Rattus norvegicus: one gene and its partner. The protein of the gene in region 1 purifies or fractionates together with the protein of each later gene. This does not show direct contact. Links are inferred from orthologs where the notes say so. Each region holds a gene or a part of one and is shown in the gene's direction. Other genes may lie near its edges. The genes, in order: Stx11 and Vamp8.

Evidence for each region.
Region 2: the proteins of Stx11 (region 1) and Vamp8 purify together in Homo sapiens (co-immunoprecipitation; 3 studies listed by BioGRID and IntAct, counting the BioPlex papers as one, with this or other methods). This does not show direct contact. The link is inferred for Rattus norvegicus from reciprocal best matches to the Homo sapiens genes STX11 and VAMP8.

The regions. Positions count from the first base shown.
Region 1 is NC_086019.1:9,137,329-9,141,651, reverse strand, and holds the start of Stx11 (syntaxin-11), read left to right. Parts: upstream 1-1,432; 5' UTR 1,433-1,501; exon of another isoform or gene 1,502-1,624; intron 1,625-4,323. UniProt on the Homo sapiens protein: SNARE that acts to regulate protein transport between late endosomes and the trans-Golgi network.
Region 2 is NC_086022.1:106,002,716-106,007,150, reverse strand, and holds the start of Vamp8 (vesicle-associated membrane protein 8), read left to right. Parts: upstream 1-1,508; 5' UTR 1,509-1,646; coding exon 1,647-1,649; intron 1,650-3,839; coding exon 3,840-3,995; intron 3,996-4,435. UniProt on the Homo sapiens protein: SNAREs, soluble N-ethylmaleimide-sensitive factor-attachment protein receptors, are essential proteins for fusion of cellular membranes.

The DNA.
Region 1 (4,323 bases):
GAGTCATTCTGGCTGAGAAACCAGCCTCCTCCCTCCATCTTTAGTTAAGTGTTTTGTTTCCATTTTCAGAGATTCCTTTCCTTTTATTTTATGTGTGGGAATGTTTTGCCTCCATCTACCGTGTACATATCATGTGTGCGACCGGCACCCACAGAGGTTAGGAGAGGCACCATGTTGGTGCTGTGAATCGCACTCAGGTCCTCCGCAAGAACATCAAGTTCTGAGCCGTCTCCCACCGATTTGTTTTTGTTTAATTCCGAAACCCACCTCCCAGCCTTCTCAGCATCTTCCGTGGCCGGTTAAGATTCTTTTCTCGTAGGATCTTTCAACAGCTGTGAGTAGGATTGGTCAGGCATTTTCGTGGGGTGGGGGTGGGAGTGGGGGTGTGCAAGTGGATTTGTGGTTGTTGAACCAGGGGCAAGCTCCGCTCACTGTCACAACATCATTTATCTGTGTGGTAAAAACTACTTTCCTCCTCCTTTCTGTACAGCCCTATGTAGAGGAGCAGGCTCTCTATATTGAGTGCAGAGAGACAAGTTTCTTTTCCAAGAAAGTGGGTTTCTGCTTCGGTTGCTTGAAGTTGCTCTGCTCCGGAGACTTGTGGACCTATTTCATCGGCCATCTGTTCACGTTAGATGAATAACTTTGTGTTACCATCCAGTGCCACCTCGTTCCTCAAATTCTTCCGGCTTTAGGCACCCGGAGCTCTTTGGGTGACTTCCTAGCATCAATGCACACATCATTTTTCTGTTTTAGATGGTTAGCCTTCGCCGTGTTTGTCCAGAGGCTTCCCATCCGCTCACCCGAAAGCCCCTTTTCTCTTTCCGAGTCTCTAGTAGGGTGTCAGGCTACGAGGACGAGGTCGTGGCAGTACCCGTGGATGCCCCACTGACAGCAGGCGGGAAGGGACTAGTGGAAGGCGGGGCTCAGTGTCTTCAAGATCCACAACCTCCGGTTCAACCATCGCGCGGGTCTCTGCAGGCGCAGCCACACCCACGCTCAGAAACGGTTTCTAGCGTCCTAGCCTCGGAAATGCTCTGGACTGCAAATGTCATTCATGCCGAGGGGTTTTCCCTTGGAAAGTCCGACGAATCCCGCTCCGCCCATCTCTCCATCCCAGAGCACCGAAGAAGACAGAGGAAGTTTCCCGGGTGGTCCACACGGTCGCCCGCAGCATCTCGGGGCGCACAGCAGTGGAGGGAGGCTCGTGTCTAGGTTCTCAGCCACCCGCACCGTGGCGACTCTCGTCCGTGAGGACGAGAAACTGCGCGCCCAGCCCAGGGCGTCCCCGGGGCGGGGCCTGGTCCCCCAGCTGTGCAGGCTCAGCGCGGTGGGGGCGGAGCCAGCAGCGCCAGATGCGGCCGGGGTGGCGCAGAGCTCGGACCCGGCTGAGAAGCGCAGCCCTGGCCATCAAGAAGCAGAAGAGGCAGAGCCTCCGGGACGCGAGCATTGCGTGTCCTCCCGGCGTCCGGACGCTGGATCAGCGCCCCGCCGGATCACGGTTCGTTTCGTCACGGGAGTGTGCTTTGGTTCTCAAACTCTTTGGGCATCGGGGACCCGGGTGCGGGGCTGGCTGGAGTGGCGGACCTCACTGGCCCAGGGCAGGGATGCTGCCCAGCAGCAGGTGGGTTTGGGGTGTGGTTCCCTCTGCGCCTCTAGGTACCTTCAGGACGCGGCTTTGGGTTTCACTCCTAGAGCCAAAAGCTTTTTAAGTCTTTGAGAATCTAAGGCTTTATCAGAAGTGCTTCAGAAATGACTGGTGTAGTCAGTTTTATTGTTTTATTGAATGGAGGTGCTTCTTTTCCGTTTGGTTGCCACTTTCTCAAGCACATCAGAATGGGCACTTCTCCACTTGAACTTGACAGTATGACTCAGGAGCCAGGAAATATGGGAACATTGATAAGGCGTTGAAACAGCCCGCACAGAAGATTTGGGGGAGTTTGTTTTAGGGGGGAGCGATCTGGTGGCTTTGCTTAAAGAACCACACTACGGAATTCTTTTGGCTTCTTTGGCCGAGACCAGCTGAGACCTGCGTTTTACTTCCTGTGGCTCTCTCACACTTAGTAGAGCATTTCTCAGCAGAGGGAGGAGCTGTTGTTTCTACACGGGTATCCACAAATGAGTCAGAAGGCGACTATAATTGCAAGGCTTTGTTAATACGCTTTTGAAAAGCGAGGTTGGATCCCTGTACTTAGAATAAGAACGGAGATGAGTCTGGTGCTGTCAAACTGGGGCAGGCGGCCTAGGAAGTAGCTATTCAAGTTTTCAGTTTCCTAGAGCGTCTGATGGGACAACATGCCAGCTAGGGTCACTAGGCCGATCTGAGATAACCCTTAAAATCATGTGCTTTCCCACAGAAGCTGAAGAGAAAATTAATTCCATTATCCAATAACCATTTGTTTTCACTGGTTGGTAGAAACTGGGCATTTAGTGGAGTGATTGTAAGTTACTCCGAAATTTAAAATATTTCAGAAAGTTTATTTTTTTTACCAAGTTAGTACTTTAAAAAATATAGAGAGAAGCTTTTGAAGAAAGTAGATGGTTGCTAGAGCCAGACATTAATATGCTCTTAGAAACAGACTTCCCTATCTAGAAGCTAAGCAGAGGCAAGAATAACTGTGTATCTTGGCTGAGCTGAGGTCAGCCCTAGACAGCAGTTACAAGGTTCTGGTCTGTTCTTTTCCTCAAGTTCCATGTGTACAATCCCAGGCACAGTGCTATCCTGACAGCCAGAGCCACAGCTGAGCTGATTTTCCTGGAAATCCAACATTGTGAGATGGGTGCTATTGTGTTTTATAAAAAAGAAAAAGAAGTCAGGGATATGTTTAGTAGAGGTGTGGGGGAAGGGGGTGCCTCTGTGGGTCCATGCTGAGGCATCCCTTTCCCCTGAGGGACCATCCATACATGGTATAGTATAAGAGTATAGAATAGAGTTTATTTAGGGCATGGGGAGGGGAGTGGACGGGGTAGAAGAAACAGAGAAAGGAGAGAGAGAGAGAGAGAGACAGAGACAGAGACAGAGACAGAGACAGAGACAGAGACAGAGAGACAGAGAGAAACAGAGACAGAGAGAGACACAGAGAGAGACAGAGACAGAGACAGAGAGAGAGGAAGGAGGAGGAGGAGGAAGAGAAGGAGGAAGAATAGAGAGTAGAGGCAGGCTTTGATCAGGTATAGAGGCGGGTAGAGGAGAATGGGGAGAAAAGGGACAAAGAGCAAAAGAGTGAGGAGGGGGCAAGCAGCCCCTTTTATACTGAGTCAGGTATATTTGGCTGTTGCCAGGTAACTGTGGGGCAGAGCCTAGAAGAAATGCCAGCAGGTGCTGTGAGAAATTTACACCCAAAGGAGGCGCCCCAGTGTGGAGGATCAGAATATCCTGGATCACTCTTGGGACAGCAAAGGAAAGTCTGGGTTCCCATCATCTGCTTGTCTTGGTTGGCAGCCAGGTTTTCACTCAATACATACATGATTTGAAAAGCATATTTGTATGTGCATATGTGTATGATTTAAAGAACATACTAGTGAGGCGTGGCGTTTAAAGTGTTTGAATTAACCGTGTTTTGTATTGCTCGGTAGCTGTGTGAAAGCAAACCCAGTCTGTTATCATCCCTGGGCACTTATGGGCACTTTCCTGTGTCTTTTAAACAACAGGGAGTGACTTACGAGCCATTGGTGGCTTTCTGCTCATCGGTTGTTCCTTATCTGAGGACTGGCTTCACTTCCTTGATTTTTATTACCCGAGCTCTGAAACGTGAAATAGAAAGTTCCAGCAATAATAGTATGCATCTATTTATTTTACTTGAGACGTGGTCTCACCGCGTAGCCCTGGCTGACCTAGAATCCACAGCTATCTCTCTGCCCGCTTCTGCCTCCTGAGAACTCGTATTAAAGGTGTGTGCCACCACACTTGGCAGTGAGATGATGCTCTGAGAGAGGGAATACATCCACACCAAATTAATTAGAACCATATCGTTGTAATTGCTCCACTATTAATTCTTGTTCATCTCTTACTGTGCATAATTTATGAATTTAAACTTTATCTTAAATACGCATGCACGGAGAACAGCAGAAATAGGTGTCAGGCGTTCACCACAGTCTCTTGGCTCAGATCCCTGAGGGTTAATTTCCCAGTCCTCTGAGGTGGCCAACTAGTAAAAGGCTCCATTACCACATCTTTCACCTCTGTCTCATCGCTCCCTCCGCAGCCTCAGAGCCACATCTTCTAGAGGAAAGAAAAAAGATGAAGTGTTATTCAGTATGGCGTTCCTGGGCTTGGGTACCCATCTGACTCGTGGTTAGTGGAAAGAAAGCATTTATTAAACA
Region 2 (4,435 bases), on another chromosome or scaffold:
CTTAGCCTTTTGCCTAAGATCAAGTGTAGTAGAACAGACATTCTCTGTTGTGATCTCATTCCTGTTTATTCTAGATTTTTCTTTTGCTTATAGGGAAGGAAAGGGCTTGTGCCATTTTAAGGCATTACTAGGGGGCTAGAGAGCGAGTTCAGCAGCTAAGAGCATGTGCTACTCTCACTGAAGGGTTAAGCTCCCAGCACCCACATCAGGCAGCCCACAACTGCCTGTAACTTACCAGAGAACCTAACCCAGCCGCCCTGCACACACACATGCGCACACTTAAAAATAATAATGATAAATCTTTGTTTAAAGATTTTTTTTAAAGTGTTACTAGTTGCTTCAATTTGCTTCTGTAAAACTAAGCATGCAGTGTTTGTAGATGTAGCTCCTCCCTGAGTCCCTGAGCATGTACAAGGGAAAACACAAAAGTGTCTTAAAATGATTCCGAGATTCTAAATTTATTATAGCAAAAAGAAAAAAAAAAAAAAAGAAGACTTATTTGTTGGAGGAGCTAAGATTTCCTCCTTGACAATGTTATTTATTCTGGGGTGGGAAAGAATGTGTGTTCTCTTGGTGCCCTGTTATTGTTCTGTCTTGACAAACTCCATCCGGAGAAGAGCAGATTTTCTCTGGCGGAAAGCCACGTGTGGTGGAAAAACCCTTTCCGCTTAGGCCCCCTCCTAATCCATCTGACTCCTGACCAGGGTCACTAACCCCCACGGTGACCTTTGGAAGGAAATGCCGGACTGCTGAACTCCAGAAGGAAAGGAGGGGCTGGTGAGTGATCCATTTCCCTGACTGTCTCCTGTCCTGTGACAAGGCTAAGGTGCCCTGCCCCTGCTGTTTGTACTCCTCCTACTGCTGGAGGTCAACCTCAGCAACGAAGAATCCAAAGAGGAGGGCAAAGATTCCCCCAGGGCCAACTTGGAACTTTCCTGGAGATTTTAAAGACTTTAATTATGTGTATGTGTGTGTGTGTGTGTGTGTGTGTGTGTGCACATGTGTGTTCACATACCCTCAGAGGCCAGAAGAGGGCATCCGGACCCCCTAGAGCTGCGATACAGGTGTTTGTGAGCAGCCAGGTGTGGGTGCGGGACCTGAACTTGGGTCACTGCAGAAGCACCAGGTGATCTCAACTGCCCAGCCATCTCTCCAGCCCCGTTTTCTGGGGATTAAAATCCTCACTAAAGTGCTCTCTTCTCATCCAGGATGGCTCAGAGACAAAGGTTGCCCAGCAAGATTTTTTCACCTGTATATTCGTTGCTATCTAAATAAGGCTAATTTAAGTCAAAAAAACTAGAATTACTCCTTTGAAGCACAAAAAGAAGTTACTGAAAACTTAGCAGGGTTGTTGATCCTTCTTTTCTCCTTCTTGACAACTTAGACGCTTTCCCCTCCCCCACTCCCCTGCCCTGTTGCTTAAGCTTTTGTTTAGGAGGAGACTAGGAGGAGGGCAGTAGAGGGCGGCCGCCTACCTGGAGAAACCTGCAGTTAGTTACGTGTGACAGGAGCCCGAGAGGCTGGAGTCGCGGGATGGGCAGGAGGCGGGCAGAAAGTTGGAGTAAGCAGGAAGTGAAGCTGTAGCTGCCTTGGGTGGAAACAGACTAGGCGAAGTTCTGCTTTGAGAGGCCCAAGTGCTCCGAGACATGGTGAGTGACGTGGGGACTAGGAAAGAGAGATTTAGAGGAGCGGGATCGGGCCTGGGGGTTGCCTGTGTCGAGATAGGTAAGTTGGCGGCCGTCAGTAGGCTGGCCGGGTTGGGCCAGCGCTGCCTCTCTCTCCTTACTTTTGACAACTCGTCTACAAATAGCTCCGCACTCCGGGCCAGGGGTTCCCGACACTTCTCCACCTCCTTCTTCCCATGACCTCGGTGCTGGATGGGATCAGGGTTTCGGTGGGGGCTGGGGAACCCAAATTCCAAGCCGAGCTGCTGCGCCGCGCCCTCCCCCTCCTCCGCCTCCTCCAGCTGGGCCTGAGCCGGGTGTTGTGACATTACCGGACCACAAGTGCTCCTGCTCTTTGGTGTTCAGATTCCAGCCCAGCGGACTGGAGTTCTCCCCCCTTAGCCTCGCACTGTATCTACGCAGACACGCAGAGGATCTGCCTGGCCACAAAAAGCACCCCTCTTCTCTAGAAACATTAGCAACAGTGCCAAGGGTTTGTAAAGAAGCCAGATGGCGGTTCTCCCTGATAATCTAGCTTCAGCCCACACCCACGGCCAGTACCACGGCCCCCTGGGTCCCTAAGGGAGGAGTCAGGCCTTTTTCCTCCTTGTTCAAAAGCTTTATCTAGAGGCCTCCTGGAAGAAGACCTCAGCAGGAAGAACTTTTGTTAATATCTACATAAGCAGGCGGTGGTGTGCGGCCTACCAGGCGCTAAATTGTGGGGAAAGCAGAAGTGTGCGGTCCAACGGCACACGATGCCTTCTGGGGGCCACACCGACTGAACCAGGGTTACACTGCCCAGCAAGCTGGAACCAGAATTCACCAACAGCTGTCTGGAGAGGAACTTGGGTTGGGCCAGGCAAGGGTCCTTCTGCTGGCCAGCTCTCAGAGTTTTAGAGAGAACCCACTAGGACTGGGAAGAGGGAGGCTATGGGGACCAGTTAATAGTACTTTTCTGGGGCTGGGGATTTAGCTCAGTGGTAGAGCGCTTACCTAGGAAGCGCAAGGCCCTGGGTTCGATCCCCAGCTCCGAAAAAAAGAACCAAAAAAAAAAAAAAAATAGTACTTTTCTGTGCTCTGCTGAGGAGAACGGAAATCCAGTTCTGTTTTCTCCCCGACCCTCTTTGTGGTGTCAAAATGGGAGCAGTTGTGTGCTGTTTTTTCCTTGTCACCCTGAAACCCCCGAAGGTGGTTTGCAGTCCAGAATCAAATCTCATCTTCTGGGACTTAAAAAAAATGTCCTTATATGGCAGCCAAGATGGTTGGGTAGGTAAAAGTGCTTGCAGAGCAAGCCTGTCTGCCTGAATTCAATATCCTTCTCACTCCTGTCTGTCCAACTCTAGGAGACAATCCACTCATGAGAGTTGTCCTTTAACCTCCACATGTGTGCCATGGCATACATGTATATTCCCCAACACACACTTACTGATAATGTGTGTGCACACCCACGTATACACACCACACACACATACACACACACTGCACTTATGCCAGACTAAGGATGCGGTTCAGCTAACAGAGTGTTTGCCTGGCAAGCATGAAGCTCAGGGTTTGATCCCCAGCACCTGATAAAACAGGGGTGATGGGGCACATCTGTAATCTCAGCACAGGGTAAGTCAAGACCGGAGGATCAGATGTTCAAGGTCATCCTACTTAGGAAGTTTGAGGCTGGCCTAGGTTATATGAGACCCTGTCTCGGATAAATAAATTAATAAATCTGGGGAGGTGGCTCAGTGGACAAAGTGCTTGCCACATAAGCATGGAGATTTGACTTGGGTCCCTAGACCCATTTAGAAGAAAAGAAAACTCCAGGTGCGGTGGTGCAAGCACTCAGGTGCAGTGGCTCCCAGCACTCGGATGGTAGAGAAGGCTTTCTGTCCACCCTAATCTCAGAACCCCCGGCCAACAGAAGACCCAGCCTCTGGGAACAAAACCAAAAACCAAATGGCTGCTGAGGAATGACACCTGAGGCTGATCTGGGACATACACGCGCTTGCACCCACGTGAACGTTTCCATAGAACATTCCCCTTGTAAACAACTGAAGTATTAGAAGTGGCTAAAATCTCGGGTTGGGGATTTAGCTCAGTGGTAGAGCTACTTTGGTCCTTCCAACCTCCTCTGGCCTCTTGGATCCTCTGCTGCCCAGCCTAATTAACCCCTGTATTGACCTGCAGGAGGCCAGTGGGAGTGCCGGAAATGACCGAGTCAGGAACCTGCAGAGTGAGGTGGAGGGAGTCAAGAATATTATGACCCAGAATGTGGAGCGGATCTTGGCCCGAGGGGAGAACCTGGACCATCTCCGAAACAAGACAGAGGACTTGGAAGCCACGGTGAGGTTGGGAGAAAACTAGGAGTGGGGGGGAGAGATCTTGTAGGGAGAGAGAAGTTTTGGGGGGAAGGTAAAGTGAACAGAAGGGACACAGACTGTCGTGTCTACTGCCCTTTCGCCCATGAGGGAGATTGTTGAGTTCCCACCTCTAGCTCCTTGCTACTCTGCTGGTTGGTAGAGAGCCCAGTGAGTGGATCCATTTGGGCTTGAGCAAGGGGTCCACCCACAGAGCCATTTCTGAGACAGTTCAGTCAACTGCTACATTCCTAAGCTTCTTTGGGGTATGAAACTGATTTTTCTTTTAAAGCTTGTCCTTGGCAGTCATTTGGAGTTGATGCCCCCAAGGCAAAATTATGAATACTAGGCAACCCTTGGCCTTTTAGCATTTACCAGGTGTTATTGGGCTGGAAGTGGGGGGGCATCTTGCTGAGTCAGCTTTAA